2 linked regions of the Alligator mississippiensis genome follow. The protein of the gene in region 1 interacts with the protein of each later gene in a pairwise test. Links are inferred from orthologs where the notes say so. Each region holds a gene or a part of one and is shown on either strand. Other genes may lie near its edges.

Region 1 (8,573 bases):
GGGGCCTTGCCTTTCCGTGCTTAAGAATTTCTCCAGTTTCTCAGAGTTTTATTGGCTGTTCCATAAAACCCTTTGATTCTTTTGGAAATGTGGATAATTTGAGAGGCCTCTTATTGGGTATGAAAATGGAAGAGGTAGCTGAAAGCAGCACTTTTAGTGTCTGCTTCTCTTTTATACATTTTAATTGCTGTGACAAAATATTCACTGCAGTCTGTTCTTTGGCCAAGGCTGGAGGAGATTCAGGATGGATGAGAAACCCAATGAAAGCCTGGGGTAGAGAAGTAAGGATGGGCTTTGGGGATTAGGACAAAATGTTTGAAAGAGAAGGGAGACAGAGTGGAGAAAATCTGAGGAGATGATATGGTCACAGTGCTCAGTGAGGAAAATGATCTAAAAGTTTCTGTGGATTGGAGTGCGGGGTGTCATGTTAAAGAAGCCAAAGAGGAAGGGGGTGCAAAGATAAGCACATAGGTTATCTATCTGGGAGAAAGGCCAGATGTGAGAAATCAGACGTTACAAGGAGCAGCAAGACTGCTTATATGGGGGGAGAGAGGGAGGAGTTGAAATTAAAAAGCATCTTATTTATTACAGTAGTGTCTAGAGATCAACTAGGTGTGGGGCCTTCCTGTGCCAGGCAGTGTGCAGGCACAAGTAGATGATCCTTGCTCCAGAGATCCTGCTGTTCAAGTAGACAGGCCCAGGGCAGGTGGAAAGGGTCAAACACACAAGCAAAGTCAGCAGCATGTCACACTAGCGTTGCAATTCTTGAAGGTTTTGGGATGGGGTTTTCTTGGAGGGAAATTAGCTACATGGAAAAATATGAGAAAGGAGAAGAGATACCAAAGGGCAACTAGGGAAGGGTGAAAATAAACCAATAGTCAGGACAGTTAAGGGAATACCTTCTTAAAGCTGTAGATGCTCTGATGGTGTCCAGAGATCCCTGTTTGAGCTGCTTCTGCTAGCATCAGTCTCTGGGTAGCTTCCCTTTGCCATCCCTTTCCTCAAGCCCTGTTCTATGTCCTAGCTGCAGGCCTGATTGAGAGGAGGGATGGCAGCATTAGCAGCAATACAGTGAAAGAAAGAGGCTTGGGAAGGAAGCCTATGAGTCCCAGAGGGTGGTGAGATGTTGAAATAGGGGGAGACTGGTGTGTGGAATGGGATGGTGGGAGGACAATGGGAAGAGCTGGGAGTCACCTGAGGCAAAGGGGAGGTAAAAAAGTCACATGCCATAAGAAGTGGCAGAAGTAGGCTGAAAAGAAACAGGACTGGGATGTGGCCCATCCCAAAATTTCCCCAGGGATAGGCAGAGTGAAGAGGGAGCATAGACTACCAGGAATATATGGAAACTCTGGGCCAGCGGGAGCCAACCTTTGTGGCAGACAGATTAAACCCCACGCCTTCCCTGAGTTCCACTCTGACCCCCTTCACCTGCTGCTCTGCTTTCTGCTCCCTGCCCTGTGCCCCCAGCCCAAACTGTTGCTCTACCACATGCCACACAGCAAACGGCCTAGGTCACTTGTGGCACACGTACCACAGATCAGTCTTCCCTGCTCTAGGCCTTCCTGTCAGCCTTTCCAGCTGAGCCACAGCATCTCTTGCCTCTTGAGCCCCTTCTCATTAATTTTATGATTTTTCCTTCCCTTTTCTTCCTTTGCTTTCTGGAGGACTTCAGTCTCTCTTACTGGTATTCCGGGCATGAGGACTCTTGCCCTTGGTTTCATGCTCTCTCCCAGTTCACAAAAACTTGGGTACTCAGGACAGTTTCCTAAGCCCTGCTTCTTTCCCAGGATTTCCTGGGCCATCTGCTCCCTGCTCACTTTATTTCCTCATGTGTCTCACCCTCTCTGTGTCCGTTCATTTAATGCAACTTTTCATTTTCATTGAATGTGGATGACAATGTGGGGGTGTCTTTCCCCCTTGATTTTTTTTCCTCCCTTCTTTTCTGAACATCTACATTTACCCCAATACAAGACGACCCTGAATTTAAGATGACCCCTCCCAACAATTACATTCTATACTTGAAAAATGTATAAATTTGTCATTATTTTCCATGTATAGAACCTAATTATTGGATGGTCATTCTAAATTAGTCCTCTCACCCCATCTCCCCACCGCTGCAGGGTGGCAGGCAGTGAGGGGGAGCAGGTAATGTGAGGAGGTCAAGCATTTTGCCCCCTGCTGCTTACTCCCCCTTCCCCTCCCTCCCACAGCTTCTGCTCTCCCCCCTGTGCCTCCCTTGCCTTTGCCCTGATGCCAGCAGGCTCCATCTCAGCTCCAGCTTGGGGCACAGAGCATGCCCCAGCTCAGCCCTGTAGGAGCTTTGCCAGCTCAGTACTGCTGCTACAGCAGTGGGCAGGGATCTTGCTCTATGCCCCAGGCTGGAGTGGGGACTGAGCCTCCTGGTGCTGGGGCAAGGATAAAGTGGTGGGGTGGGGAGGCAGGGAGAGAGACTGCGGAGGGGATGCGGGGGAAAGGGGCTGCAGTGGGGAGATGGCGGGGTGCAGAGGCAGCAGGGGACAGGCAGCAGCTGCTTACCCCTCCCACTGCCTCATACTTGATTCCAAGATGAAGGGCTCTCCGCAATTAAATGGGGGAAAAAAACCTCGTCTTGTAGTTGAGTAAATATAGTACTTCTCATTTCCCCTGGATGCAGAAACTCTTCTTTCTCCATGCCCTTCTTTGCCCCCATTCCTCTTCTGACAGCTTGAGTCATCAGTTTTTCTTCTGCTGCCCAAGTTTGCTGCTGCTGTTTGAAGCTGGTCAGCTAAGGATGGCTCGGGTGGGTATCCAGTGTACAAGAGCACACTGCTCACTCCCCTTTTACTACAACTCTACTTCAGCTTCCCCATGCATCTCTCCCTCTGCACCAGCTCCCTGGTACCAGCCTTCTCTTCTGGCCTGATTAAAGCTCACTTCATGTGACAGGGCCCCTTATATTGTGAAACACTGCTGTTATTTGGGATGGTTTTCTTTCCTTATCTGCTATATCCACCTTTCCTCTTCCTGCCACTTTCTCTACCCAGTCTCCAGATCCCTAATGAGGTGTCTTATTGCCCTGGCATGATAGTTAATTTGTTCTCTCAACTGCACATTCTCAGTTCATTTCCTCTCTCCCGTCAGCTGTTTCCCCATTGTCATAGCCTTCAGTCTGCATTTCTCTTCTCTGGGGTCATGGCCCTTTCTCCTGTAAGAAGTCTGTTCTTTCCCTTATTTCTTAAACATAAAATAAATGCGACAGCATCTCTCCCATTTTGGGCCAGAAACTTCCCTGTTTCTTCCAATTCTTATCTTGGAATACACTACAATCTCATTGTAATAAATCTTGATTGTTAATAAGCCACTGTTTTTTAATAATACCAATTCTTTTTTCTTTTCTTTTTTCCCACATTTTTATGGTGTAGCCAACTAACTAACCCTGCTGTAGCAAGCACCCTCTTTTAAAGATTTTTTTCTCCTGGCCCTGTGGTGGTTCATTATAAGGAGGTTGTACTGTATGCTGGTCCTCCCTTCCTTCATTTCATATACCTTTCATTGTGGCCTTTGATCAAGAAAGCTAGCCCCAACAGCCCATATTCAGGTCCACTTTGATGCTTTGAGGTAGCATTTGGACAGCTCACGTAGTTTTTTGAGCTACTTCCATGGATTTTAGGTGTGTAACTTGTAGAAAGGAGAAGGGGACACCCCACCTTTAGTCTATTGTTATGGCGCTTGCCCAGGAAGCAGGAGACCCCTTGCTCCAAGGGGGTTTGAACCTGCATCTCCCACTTCCCAGCTGAGTGCTCCAACCCCCTATGCATTGCCAAACACACTCTCCAGCCTCACTTCTGAAGCTGGCCCACTGGGCAACCAGAAGGACAATAAATGGAGGGAATGTGGCTCAGTGAGAAGGGCAGTACCCTAGAAAGGAGAAGGTGGTGGAGTCTGGTTTGTGCTCCTGGTCTTCCTTCGCCAATGGTGACTCAACTACACTTTTTATTTGATAGCCATTAGATGGACAGTAGTGGGATTGCTGTCTCTTGCCCCACTGGAGGCAGAGCCCTGTCCATCTAGGGTGGGATCCATTTCAGTGAGCTTTGTTCACACCCCCCCTGGCCCCACATATCTTACCTTTTTGGCTGCTGTGACAGGGGGCATGACAGGACCGGGTCTCATGTTGGCCTCCTACCTGTGCCCTGTCTTACCTGCCATGACTTGATATTCTCTGATTTAACAAGCGGGAGGCTGCCCATTTACTGCCCCAATGCCAGGGGTGCTATCCATGGCTCCATGCCTTCCCTATACTGTGGCCCATGCCTTGCAGATGGCATCTAGTTTGCTATTACAGCTCTGGCCTGAGATAGGGTCAGACTCAGTCCACTGTTGGGCCTCTTGCACACTACCCTATTTGGGGTCACACGCATACCTCCCGCCTCTCACTGGGGCCTCTTCCACTCTGCCTTTTCTGACCAGGCGTCTTGCACGCTGTCCTTCGCTGGGCCACACTCACTCTGCCCTACTCCTTTGAGCAGCCATCAGGCTTGCCTACTCTCACCTTGGCTGGCTGGCATACAGCCTCTTGGGTCTTCCGTGACCCTCATCCAGACAGTGACCAGCCAATTAACTGAACACTGAGCTGACTCTGCCCCCAGCCCCTCACTGGGCAACGTTCACAATATATTCACATGCTTATGGGGGTTGGCCCATGTGCTGCCCTTCTGGCTGTCCTTCAGCCCTACTCAACACACCCCCTGGTGCAGCCCTTCAGACTGGCCTTCAGTCCTACTCTACACCTTCCTTACGCGCAGTCCTTCAGGTCGTAAAGATGCCCCTACTCTGTGGGCCACACCTGCTCTATTACCCCCACTCTGGGGCTACTCTCCTGCCCACCCTCTCTGGGCCAACTCCCACCCCCTCCCTGGCGCCTCCAGTGCGCAAAGGTATGCCTGGTCCCTGTGCCTGGCCCTAAATCAAGGTATGCCATCAGGATGTGGGGGCTGGGGTTTTAAGGAGCCCCTCCCTGCCTTTTACCGGGGATGCAACTGGCCTGGCATTTCTGGGGAGCTTCCCCACCACGAGAAGCCCCACCAGGCCATCCTTTCCCAGCAGGGTACAGTTTCAAGTCATACCCAGGACCAGGAGCCTCCCAGATGCCTGAACATGAACATTAAATTTCTACGAGTGGTGGCAGCTCAAAGCCTGATAATTATCTAGATCATACCATGGGTGTGAACTGTTGGCTTAAACTCCCCTCAGGGTTTTGAAATATTTTCCTTATCTTGTCAAGGGTTTGGTATTCATTTTTATAAACTACTTGGGACCATTTCTGTTTTTGAGTGCAAGCATTTAAGTTGGAAAGTAATTTAATTGCCTTGGAAAAAAAAGGTCTTTCCCATATTGCATGTTGGGCTGGCTTGCTTACTTGCTTCCATAGAAATAAATGTGTTACAAGGCATTTCAGCAAATGGGTGATGGTCTAATACTGCCCCCACCCGGTCCCTATGTGGCAGGATTGGGCCCCATGCCACCCTGCATGCCGAGTCTAGCATCCAGGGTCACAGCCCATGGAACTCCCCACAAGATCTGTAGGGAGCTGTATGGACTGGATTACACAGCACTGAGGGCTGGATCTGGCCCTCAGGCTGAGAGCTGAGCACCCCATATCTAACAAGCATTGTTGGCACTGTAGCTTTGGGTGTGACCTTAACAACCAGTACATGCCCTTGAGCTCAGTGTGACTCTCTGTGGGTGCACGGATTCACTTGGGCAGTTTTCTATGGAAGATGTGGCTGGTGTGGGTTGAATAAGATATCCAGCATAGCTTTGCTGGTCTACAGAAGCTTACTGGGACTCGGTGCTCCCTTCTACCATGCTGCTGTGCCTGGCCTGCTATTAATATTTATGAGAAATGTGAACTCTCTGATTCATAGCGTGGGTAAGTATCAGTCAATGAGTCTCTGATTTATTTTAGCTCTGCAGTCGTCCAGGCTTTAGCACAAGGAGTGAAGAAAGCAGACTCAGACCCTTCTGTGAAAGCTGTTGTGATTTGTGGGGCAAATGGGAAATTTTCTGCAGGTAAGGCATTTTTCTTCAGGTAGGTATGGATGGAGAGTTCCTGTTTATTCTTTGCCCCTTTGAAGACTCTGGAAGCTTTTCCCTTTAACTGATGGGATCAAGATTTGACCCACAGAGAAGCAGTCTGTGGGTCATATGACTTTACTGGTAAATGGTAGAAGCTGCAGTGCACACCTGCATGCACCCACTGAGTCACTACTTTGATGTCCCATGGAAGTCCTGTTACAGTCACTACAGGTATCCTGGTGACAAATTCTGCAGTTCTTCAGAATAGCAGCAGGGTCTGGGGTATTTCGATGCTTGTATTATTCTAGCCATTCACCATCTACAGGAACCTGATGTATCTTTAATGTGGTGTTTCTCAGAAATTGACCATATAGGATCCTTTTTCACCTCCTTACCCATGGTTCACGCTCCCAATGGGTGACACTAAATATAAGACGTATTTTCCTTTGTATTTGTAAACAGGGGCAAAGGACGGAGCCCATTGCAATGAGCCCATTGCTTGGGAATTACAGTAGTGTCGTGACATTGATTTGTGATTACTGCACACACTTATAGTTATTTAGCCTATACCCCAAAAGACAGAAAAGGCTAATAATAGGTTTTGTCACATAGGGTCCTGGACACTGTGCAGGGGTTTGATTAGTTTTACCTTTCTTCACCATCTTTGACCTGCTTGACAAGCCTGGGAATCAGGATTGCTGTCTTGCAAGTTCAGGTCTGACTTGGACTCCATGGTATTTCAGCTGGGTTGAGTTGCCTAGAAGGAAGGGGCGTGATAGGCAATCCTTTCCCTGCTGTGTTTTTTTTTTTGTGTGTGTGTGGGTTTTTTTGTTGGTTTTTTTTTTTTACAGTCTAAGTTCCTCTGTGTTTCATCAGGTGCTGATATTCGAATGTTCTCCTCCCTCCCGCCAAGAGACAGACCTGCTTTGGCAGAAACAGTCTCTCTGATAGAGAGAAGTCAGAAGCCAGTGGTGGCTGCCATTGAAGGCGTGGCTTTGGGAGGAGGCTTGGAAGTAGCACTGGGCTGTCATTACAGGATTGCACATGCACAGGTAGGATGTGATGGTAACAACAGAGTTCAGCAATGGGCCACAGGTACGCAAGGTCAGGTTCTGTACAGGGGTGCACGGAGTACAACAGGGTGATCTCTCACCTTGAGGTTTTCGCAGGAGCCACAGTAAGGCCAGAGGAGAGGCTCTCATCTTACTGCCTCATCTGCATGCCTAGGACTTCACAGTATTTGTTCAGACACCCCCATTCTTCACCTGCTTTTCCACCACTTCCCTGTATGGCTCACTTGCAGCTCACTCTAGGTCAGTGCTGAGAGCTGCCTGAGTGCTCATCCCATGATTTTCCTGCCCTGAGGCACAGCTGACATGGGCTCCCTGCTGCACTCTATTTCCGGGCGTTCAGGATCAAGGCTGATGCATGCTAAGCAGTGTTGGTGCTGTTGTAGTACTACACTGTTATTTTTAGATCTGCACAGTTGGAGACAGCCTGTTCCTGGAGGGGCATTCACTAGCTTCTGCTGAGTTACCAGGACACAGCCCTGGAGCAATACTTCCATGTGAAAATGCTTGTCTGTTAACGTGCTGACTTTAAACCAATCATTAAACACTTCAGCCTTCCCTTAAGAATGGCATTAATGGTTTTTGGGCATTTTGTCATTTTAATGAGGTCACTGGGTCACCAATTAATTAACCCCTCCCTCTAGCCTTGTTGTATCTCAGCAGAACACTGTCTTTTCCATCACACTATTGGGATTAGTGGGGAAATAGCAAAATTTCTAACCAATAATCCAGGCAGATTTTGGTACACTACTGGTGATGTGGACAATGACATCAATAGCTTAGGCAACCTTAACGTTTCAGTTCAAAAGGACCTTTTCTAGATGCTGTTAGCTCTTGCGTATTTCTGTGTTGTAAGTCTGACATGTTCATGGTTGTCTTCAGCTAAGGAGCACATTTTAAATTTCTTTTTTTGCTTTGCTTTCTTTTTTTATTTTAGGCCAAAACATTTTTTGAGTAAAAACTGTGAAAAAATACCCTTCTGCCATTATAAACACATGTTGCTTACAGAAACAGTGTTAAAAGGAAATTGTGATAATACATTCTAGCTTTCAAAGATTAGGAGTTGCCAGAATTAAGATTATCTGTACAACAAGAATCACCCCCCTCATACAGAGGCATGAATAATACTGTTTTGCCTGGCATTTCATTGTCTGTGCCATGGCCGGGAAAAGAGTTAAGCTCTCCCGGTTCCCATCCAGAACATGGGGGGGGAAAAACATTTGCCTACATCCTAAAATAGAGGATTGAGGGATAACTCAATGATAAGAGCTGTTGTTTGTATGGTATTTGCTAGTTCCCATTACAACCAGCAGATACTACTTCTGTGCCTGCTTCCTCTCTGGGGTTTTAGTCCTGTGCCTATCCTAGGAGCCCATTCAGTCTAGCTGGCCTGTAGAAAGCTCTGTGGAGCTCAACTGTCCTCAGTATAGATGAAACACTGAAGCG
Region 2 (7,760 bases), on another chromosome or scaffold:
CCTGGCCGGCCGCCACCATGCCTGCTCCATCACTGCTGACACCTGCTCAGCAGGTAGGTGTCTGCTTTTAGACTAGGCAGAGCAAGCTGCACTCCTGTCATGCAGCTGCCAGCTTCCCTTGGGAAGGGAGCTGGGCCCTTGTCTCAGACCTGGACACAAGGCTTCTCCCTCTGACACAGGCTCCCCCACCCAGCAGGGGCCAGCACAGCAGGAAGGACAGCACACGCATGTCATTTACTGCAGCGCTTTTATTTTCCTTACAATGACGTGTTGTCGGGCATTACAATTCTCGACCTTGGGATGACTTACAAGTTTTGGTTTTCTACTGTCATGTGAGAACATTAAGGCAACGTACAAAAAAAAATCTTACATAAATTAAACGGGATGCAGAAATTTACAGGTGTAAATGCAGAGTTTCAGCAACTCAAGTCGAGTTAACTTTTAGCCCCGTGTGATGTCTTGCTGGGATACAGGTGGGTGGGAAGATGGAAACGGGCTCCTAAGGCTTGGATGTGATATGTTTTTCCAACCTTGCTAGAACGGCAGCAACAGAAGTGAACTCTTTGATGGACTCCTACCAGCCTCTACATGAAAACTTGGAATACTCAGCGCTTTACAGATTGGAGTCTGACCTCAAATACCCTGTACAGATCTAGTCTCCGGCCCACGAGCTTAGGCTCCAGGCAAGTGTCACTCATCAATAGTAGCAAAGCCAGGAGCCCTACAGGCTCCTTGGCAGATTCTCTTCCACAAACACAAATTAACCTTGGCAGCAGGGTCACACTAGTGACTGCACCTGTACCAGGGTCTAGGTCAGATGTGTACAGGGTATTTTGCTAGAGAGTGTACACCAAGGGAACAAGGAACTTGAATACAAGGTCAAATCAGCGACAGCTTGACAATCCAACAGTGCTGACGTGTGTCTAACATCAGATACAGACTTTCCAAGGGCAAGTTTCTTTGAAAGAAGGCTTATTCCAGTTTTAGGAGGCTAGCATGAGGTGTATAGATTTGCCTGGGCAAACATATACTAGTGAAAAAAATACTCATGCAGCAGATGCTGGGCATCTGCTCGCAGTCCATTTAGAAGCATTTGCGGTGGACAATGGAGGGGCCGGACTCATCGTACTCCTGCTTGCTGATCCACATCTGCTGGAAGGTGGAGAGGGAGGCCAGGATGGAGCCGCCGATCCAGACAGAGTATTTGCGCTCAGGGGGAGCAATGATCTGCAAGGCAACAAAGACAAGTCAGCCGCAGAGCCAGAGCTTTGGAGGCCACCTCCCCTCCCAAGTCCCTGGGCATCCGAGAGAGGGTTTGCTCGTGCCCCGGAGGCTGCACCTACCTTGATTTTCATTGTGCTGGGTGCCAGGGCTGTGATTTCCTTCTGCATTCTGTCGGCGATGCCAGGGTACATGGTGGTACCACCGGACAATACTGTGTTGGCATACAGGTCCTTTCGGATGTCTACGTCACACTTCATGATGGAGTTGAAAGTGGTCTCGTGAATGCCACACGACTCCATACCTGGAGAAGAGAGGTTGCCAGGTCAGCACACAGCTGGCCACTCAAGCCTTGCGCCGCCAGCCCCTGCCCCCTGCACTCAGACCCATGACCCCTGGCACTGACACGTTCCAGGCACGTGCTTGGTAGACACCTACCTAGGAAGGATGGCTGGAAGAGGGCCTCTGGACACCTGAACCGCTCATTGCCGATGGTGATCACCTGCCCATCAGGCAGCTCGTAGCTCTTCTCCAGGGAGGAGGAGGAAGCAGCTGTAGCCATCTCCTGTTCGAAGTCCAGGGCAACGTAGCACAGCTTCTCCTTGATGTCACGCACAATTTCCCTCTCGGCCGTGGTGGTGAAGCTGTAGCCTCTTTCTGTCAGGATCTTCATGAGGTAGTCTGTCAGGTCCCGGCCAGCCAAGTCCAGACGCAGGATGGCGTGGGGCAGAGCGTAGCCCTCGTAGATGGGCACAGTGTGGGTGACACCATCCCCAGAGTCCATAACAATACCAGTGGTACGACCAGAGGCGTACAGGGACAGCACGGCCTGGATAGCAACGTACATGGCTGGGGTGTTGAAGGTCTCAAACATGATCTATGAGGGGGAAGGGAAAGAAAACCGTGGTTTCAGTGACAAGAAGCCTCATCCCAAGCTGGTTCACTCAAATCCAAATTAGATCACACATCATGCTGGCATGCAAGAGTGGGATGTGTGGAGAAAAGGGGAGGGGAAAAAAAAAAAAAAAGAAAAAAAAGGCAAAGAACGCAGGCAGAAAATACACAAATAAAAAGAAACCTGAGACTTCAGGAAGGAAATGCCAGGAGGAGAACAGAACCCTGGAACAGGGAAAGAAAAAGGCGAGTTTAAGGAGATGCCATAAAATTGAAGAGGGCTTGTGCTGCGCAAGGGATGGAGGCGCCGACGGCTGCTCCCGTGGGGAGCCCCTACCTGTGTCATCTTCTCCCTGTTGGCCTTGGGGTTCAGGGGGGCTTCTGTGAGCAGCACGGGGTGCTCCTCCGGGGCCACGCGCAGCTCGTTGTAGAAGGTGTGGTGCCAGATCTTCTCCATGTCGTCCCAGTTGGTGACGATGCCGTGCTCGATGGGGTACTTCAGGGTCAGGATGCCTCTCTTGCTCTGGGCCTCGTCGCCCACGTAGCTGTCCTTCTGACCCATGCCGACCATGACGCCCTTTAAGAGACAAACACGGGAGGGGCGAGGTTAGGGCCGCGGCTCTGGACCGGCTCCGCGGCGCCGCTCGGGGCTGGTCTCCGCCCAACTGACCTGGTGCCTGGGGCGCCCCACGATGGAGGGGAACACGGCCCGAGGAGCGTCGTCTCCTGCAAAGCCAGCTTTGCACATCCCGGAGCCATTGTCGATGACGAGCGCTGCGATTTCTTCTTCCATTGCGGAGGATCTGGGAGGAAGATGAGGAGACCTGTGGTCAGCGGTGCTGAGCAGGCCCCTTGCCAAGCAGGATTCAGTCCCCGCAGCACCCCACCCAGCTCAGGGCTCCACCCCCCATCATGCATTGCATTGCGTTTTTTAAAATGCATTAAGAAAAAAGAGTGGTGGGGGGGTGCTCCAGCAGGCGCTGCTGCAGCTTGCAGGGAGGGGGCAGCACTACAGCCCCCCCACCCCCCTGCAGCACCCCGGGGTGCAGCATCTCCCCCGGAGCCCGGCTCCTCGCAGCTTCCCTCTCTCCTGCCCGCAGGGGGCGCCCGCGCGCCGCGCCGCTCCCCTCCCTTCGAATCTCCCGCGGCGTGACGTCACCCGCCGGTCCAGCCAATCACGCCCCCGCCCCTGGCATCATTCAAATCGCCCGGGTGGACGAAACCATTCCCAACACGCGGGGGTGAAAGAAAAGCCGGTCGCGCCCATTCCAACGGCGGGCGGTTGGGGGTCAGGTGGACCGAACCATTTTTTCCCCTCCCCTCGCTATAGAGCGCGGCAACGGCCGCCTAGGGGGATGAGCCCCTTCCGCGCCATTACGAGAAGAGGGGCGAGAGGCAGGCGAGCGGCCCGCGGCGGGAGGAGCCCTGTACCTGTGCGGAGGAGGCTGGTCTCGGTGCGGGGGGGAAGCGCTGCTGCTAGGTCCGCTGCCGCCGGCTGAGTGAGACCGTCTGTTCGCCCGCCCCGCCCTTTTATACCCGGCGGGCTCGGGCCCCGCCTCGCCGGCCGAGACATCGCCATATATGGAGATCTTTCAGGAACACGCGCGCCCATTGGCTGGCGCGGCCCCGGCCACGTGGGGCGGCTGGTGGGCTCGGCCCCGCCTCTGCCGCCCCGGAACCTGCATGAACCAAGCTGCCGCCCCGGAACCTGCTCCCGGCTCCTGGGGGCCACGGGGCACCCCGGGCATGGGGCACCTGGTCCACGGGGCACCCCGGGCATGGGGCACCTGGGCCATGGGGCACCCGGGTGTGGAGCACCTGGGCCATGCAGCACCCCAGGCATGGGGCACTTGGGCCATGTGACACCCCAGGCATGGGGCACCTAGGCCGTGTGACACCCCAGGCATGGGGCACCTGGGCCACAGGGCAACCGGGGCGTGGGGCACCTGGGTCGTGTGACGCCCCAGGCATGGGGCATCTGGCCCATGCAGCACCCCTGGGCTATGTGGCCATGTGACACCCCGGGCGTGGGGCACCTGGGCCATGCAGCACCCCGGACATGGGGCATTTGGGCCCGTCCTGCACCCTGGGCGTGGAGCATCTGGGCCCGTGCTGCATCTCCGGGCCCACGGTGCCTGGGACCACGCTGCACCCCACTCCCATGGCACCCCGTGCCCAGCACCACCAAGCATGAGGCCCCATGGCACCAGCGCCATGACCCAAGTGCCACGGCCCTTGTGTGATTGCACCGCTCCATGGCCCGCTGCCACGCAAGCGCCGTGGGTGTCTGAGTCCCATGGCAGCTTTCACGGGGCTCCGGGCAGGGACGGTGGAACGGGCCACCCGGTTGTCCTGGGGCACCGACTCTTTCCAGGAAGGCAAACGCTGGGATGGGCGGGTTTACTCAGGCCACCACAAGCACGTGGGGTCAGCATGGAGAGACCTCCCCTGTCATTAGCTGCGACCAGAGGCTGAATGCACGAGTCTCCCCGGACGCGGCCAGCTCGGGGCAGCCCAGGCCATTGGGGTGCACGATGCCGCATCACCAGGCTCGGTGCTCAACGGGGCTCCTAAGTCCCCTGGACAGCAGCAGGAGTTCGGGGCCTACATGCCAGTGAGGCCTGCCCAGGGGCCAGCACTCGCTCGGGGGACGCGCACCCCAGGACTAGCCCCGGCACCTCCGTGGCGCTTACGAGCCGTGTTTGGGGCATCTCGACCCGGTGCGATGGGCCGGGGGCGCTGGCCCCGGGCTACCGGGAAGCAGCGGGAGAGGGAGGGCGTCCACCTGCCCCCAGCACAGCTGGACGCAGCAGGCCACATCTGCCCTAGGGCGTTGCACCTCTGGCTTCAAGCCCCGCTTTGGGGGAAGGGACCAGGCCCCGGCAGGGCTTTCGGTCCAGCCCAGCGCCCATCCCTGTTCTCGCTGCCGAGCAGGAAACATTTGCTCCCTGACGTCAAAGCCCATGAGCGAAGGCAGCGGTGACTGTGCGCCGCGGCAGCGAGCGGGGGAGCCAGGCCCGGATCAGCTCATCTTTAAGCAGCAAAAAAACCCTGCCCCCCTCCCGGCAGGCCCGGGAGGAGGAACCGGCGGGTGCGTTTCCTGGCACCGGGGCTGCAGGCAGCTGGGGAGGCGGAGCGGGAAGTTTCTGCCCAGATGAGGTCTTTCATTGCGGGGCCGAGGGGCTGGGCCACGGCCGGGCCCCGGGGAGCTGCGGGGGAAGGCTAGGAGGAGCAGGAGCTGGGCCCCCCCTTCCCCGACTAAGGGTGCCCGATGCCCGGGGGCAGGAGCGGGTTCATCACCCAGGCAGAGGAAACGGGCATCGCTCATCATGGGGGGGCCCGGCCTGCACAAGCCCCGGGGTTCCAGGTGACTCGTCCCCGGACCGGGCTTCTCCCGATGCCCAAACTAGGAAGCAAATCCCAGCCCAGCCAATGCCGGAGCAAGGCAGGATCCCGGCGTGGATGACTAATCCCAGGGGAAGTCCATCCTACGCTGGGGGAGGCAAGGGAGAGGGCCAGGTTATGCGGAGCCAGGCCCGGGTACCCCCAGCCCCTGGCTCCTCCGGCTGGGCTGGCTCTGGAGCCACCCTCCGCGCCGGCCCCCATATCCAGGCATGGGGATCTGGTCCACCCGGGGAGGATGCCCTGCTGCCCCCGAGGTGGGTTTCTCCCGGTGTTTCCCGGTTCTCGAGGAGGACACGGGCATTCAGCCGTGGGTGACCGGCTCCGTGCCACGTACCCGGCGGGGCGGGGGTGCTGCAGGGTCTTGCCTCTACCCCTCCCCCAGGGAAAGGCCCCTTGGGCCACGGGCGGGCTCCCTGCAGGGCTCTGACGTTCGGGGCGCGAGCAAGCCAGGCGGGTTCCCACGCCCACGGTCCCCGCGCGCCATCGCCCCAGGGCCCGGCCAGGTGGCAAGGTCAAGTGCAGGTTCATGGGGCTCCAGCGTGGTTCCCTCCGGCAGTGCCAGCAGAGCCCCCCCAGGCTGGGTGACATTGTCTCCCGGAGGGGCTGGAGCGTGGGTGGGGGCAGAGCCTGGGGGGCACGGCTCTGCCTCCCCCCCGCCCCCCCGCCCCAGGGCACGGGGAGGCAGTCGTACCAGCCGCACCCGGGATGTGTCACGACCAGGCATGGCGTGACGGGGAGGGAGCAGGTGGAGCCGGCCAGGTGGGCCGGCGGGAGCAGTGCATGCCTATATTTGGTGATCTCGGGCCCAGCCGTGCCCGCCCGCTCCGAAACCTGCCCCGGCTCCCGCCCCGCGGCGAACAGCCGGGGCAGTGCCGGGGCTGGACTTTGGCTCCCCGAAGCCGGGAGCCGGGCGGGGGCACACAGGGCGTGCGGGCACAGCTTGTGCATGGGGGTGAACCCAGAGCTTGCACACAGGGGTGCCACGTGGCCCTGCCTCTCCTCTGCACCCCTGTGGACACAGTGACCTGGGGGGGCAAGCAGGAGGGGAGGGGCGCCCTGCCCTGCCCTGGGAACGGGGAGAACTGGGGCATGGGGGCCGCCCTGGTGCAGCACGGGTGGGCACGGAGCCCCTCCACAGCCTGGGGGCAGGAAGCCTCCCTGAGCCCCCCAGCCCCTTGGATGCACGACGAGCCCCAGACCTGCTGCCCCCCACCTCGCTGCAGCCACGTGGGCAGCACCCACGGGCCCTCCCAGCACTTGCATGGGGGCAGCAACACCCCGGCCTCGATGCTGCCGCACCAGGGCAGCTCCTGCCCCATGCGGGGCCGCGGCTACAAGAACCCCCCCAGCTCTGCCCGCTTTGGGGCACCAGCTCTGGGCTGGGGAGTGCCAAGAAACAGCAGGTTGCTTCCTTGCGGGGGGGTCTGGAAGGTGACACCCATCAGCACTGGCGCTAGGCTGGTCTGTACTGGTGAGAGCGGGTGCTGGGCACCGGAGGCGCCGGCAGGACCCCGACGGGGCGCACTGACGGCAGGGAACTTGCTCTGGCTTCATGCCTGGATCGGGCCCCTCTGCATGGCTGAGATCCAGCCACACGGCCCCCCCGGCAGTGGGACCAGTTCCCTCCATCAGTACGACCAGCTAGGCACCCAGATGGGACTGGGTGCACTGGTTTCCACAGAGTCTGGCTGCAAGCGGTGCCCAGCTGGGCCTGGCCAGCGCCAGGAGGGGAGCCCCCAAACATGCACCATGCACCGGGGCAAGGAGCCCGCATGGGGGACCTCCTCCGCTCCGGCCAGCCTGGGGCCGGGCACGGCAGTTCCTTGCTGCGTCCACCAGGGGGGCCCCTGGACCGGTGCCGTGGCCTGTCCCGTGCCGCAGGCGTGTCCGTGTCGGTGCCCGGCGCCGTGCCCGTGTTGTGCCAGCAGGTGTGTGCAACCTGGGCCGGCCCGCCTGCAGCCTGGGCCCCCAGGGACAAGGGCAGGGACAGTTTGGGAGGGAATCTCCCAGGCCAGTGGCCTGAGATGAGTTTTTCCGTTCTCAGCCTCCGCCAGCAGCCCGGGACTCGGTTCACCTCCTGCCCTGTGGGCTTCACCCGCCGTGCGTGCAGGGCCCAGCTGCTGCCTGGAACAGCCGTGGCGCCCAGCCTGCCCCACAGGAGCCCTGGCCATGGGTGGGGGCAGGGACAGACCTGCCCCTGTGGGCTGGGGACAGGCATCGATCCCCCCTCGACAGTGCTG

The links.
Region 2: the proteins of EHHADH (region 1) and ACTG1 interact in binary tests that used the Homo sapiens proteins (3 or more experiments, as listed by UniProt). The two-hybrid records come from large-scale screens. The link is inferred for Alligator mississippiensis from reciprocal best matches to the Homo sapiens genes EHHADH and ACTG1.

Annotation. Positions count from the first base shown.
Region 1 is NC_081830.1:29,982,356-29,990,928, reverse strand, and holds the start of EHHADH (peroxisomal bifunctional enzyme), read left to right. Parts: upstream 1-4,801; coding exon 4,802-4,916; intron 4,917-5,916; coding exon 5,917-6,051; intron 6,052-6,933; coding exon 6,934-7,109; intron 7,110-8,573. UniProt on the Homo sapiens protein: Peroxisomal trifunctional enzyme possessing 2-enoyl-CoA hydratase, 3-hydroxyacyl-CoA dehydrogenase, and delta 3, delta 2-enoyl-CoA isomerase activities. Catalyzes two of the four reactions of the long chain fatty acids peroxisomal beta-oxidation pathway.
Region 2 is NC_081831.1:1,811,225-1,818,984, forward strand, and holds ACTG1 (actin, cytoplasmic 2), read right to left. Parts: upstream 3,630-7,760; 5' UTR 3,547-3,629; intron 2,919-3,546; 5' UTR 2,909-2,918; coding exon 2,786-2,908; intron 2,693-2,785; coding exon 2,453-2,692; intron 2,099-2,452; coding exon 1,660-2,098; intron 1,526-1,659; coding exon 1,344-1,525; intron 1,228-1,343; coding exon 1,084-1,227; 3' UTR 231-1,083; downstream 1-230. UniProt on the Homo sapiens protein: Actins are highly conserved proteins that are involved in various types of cell motility and are ubiquitously expressed in all eukaryotic cells.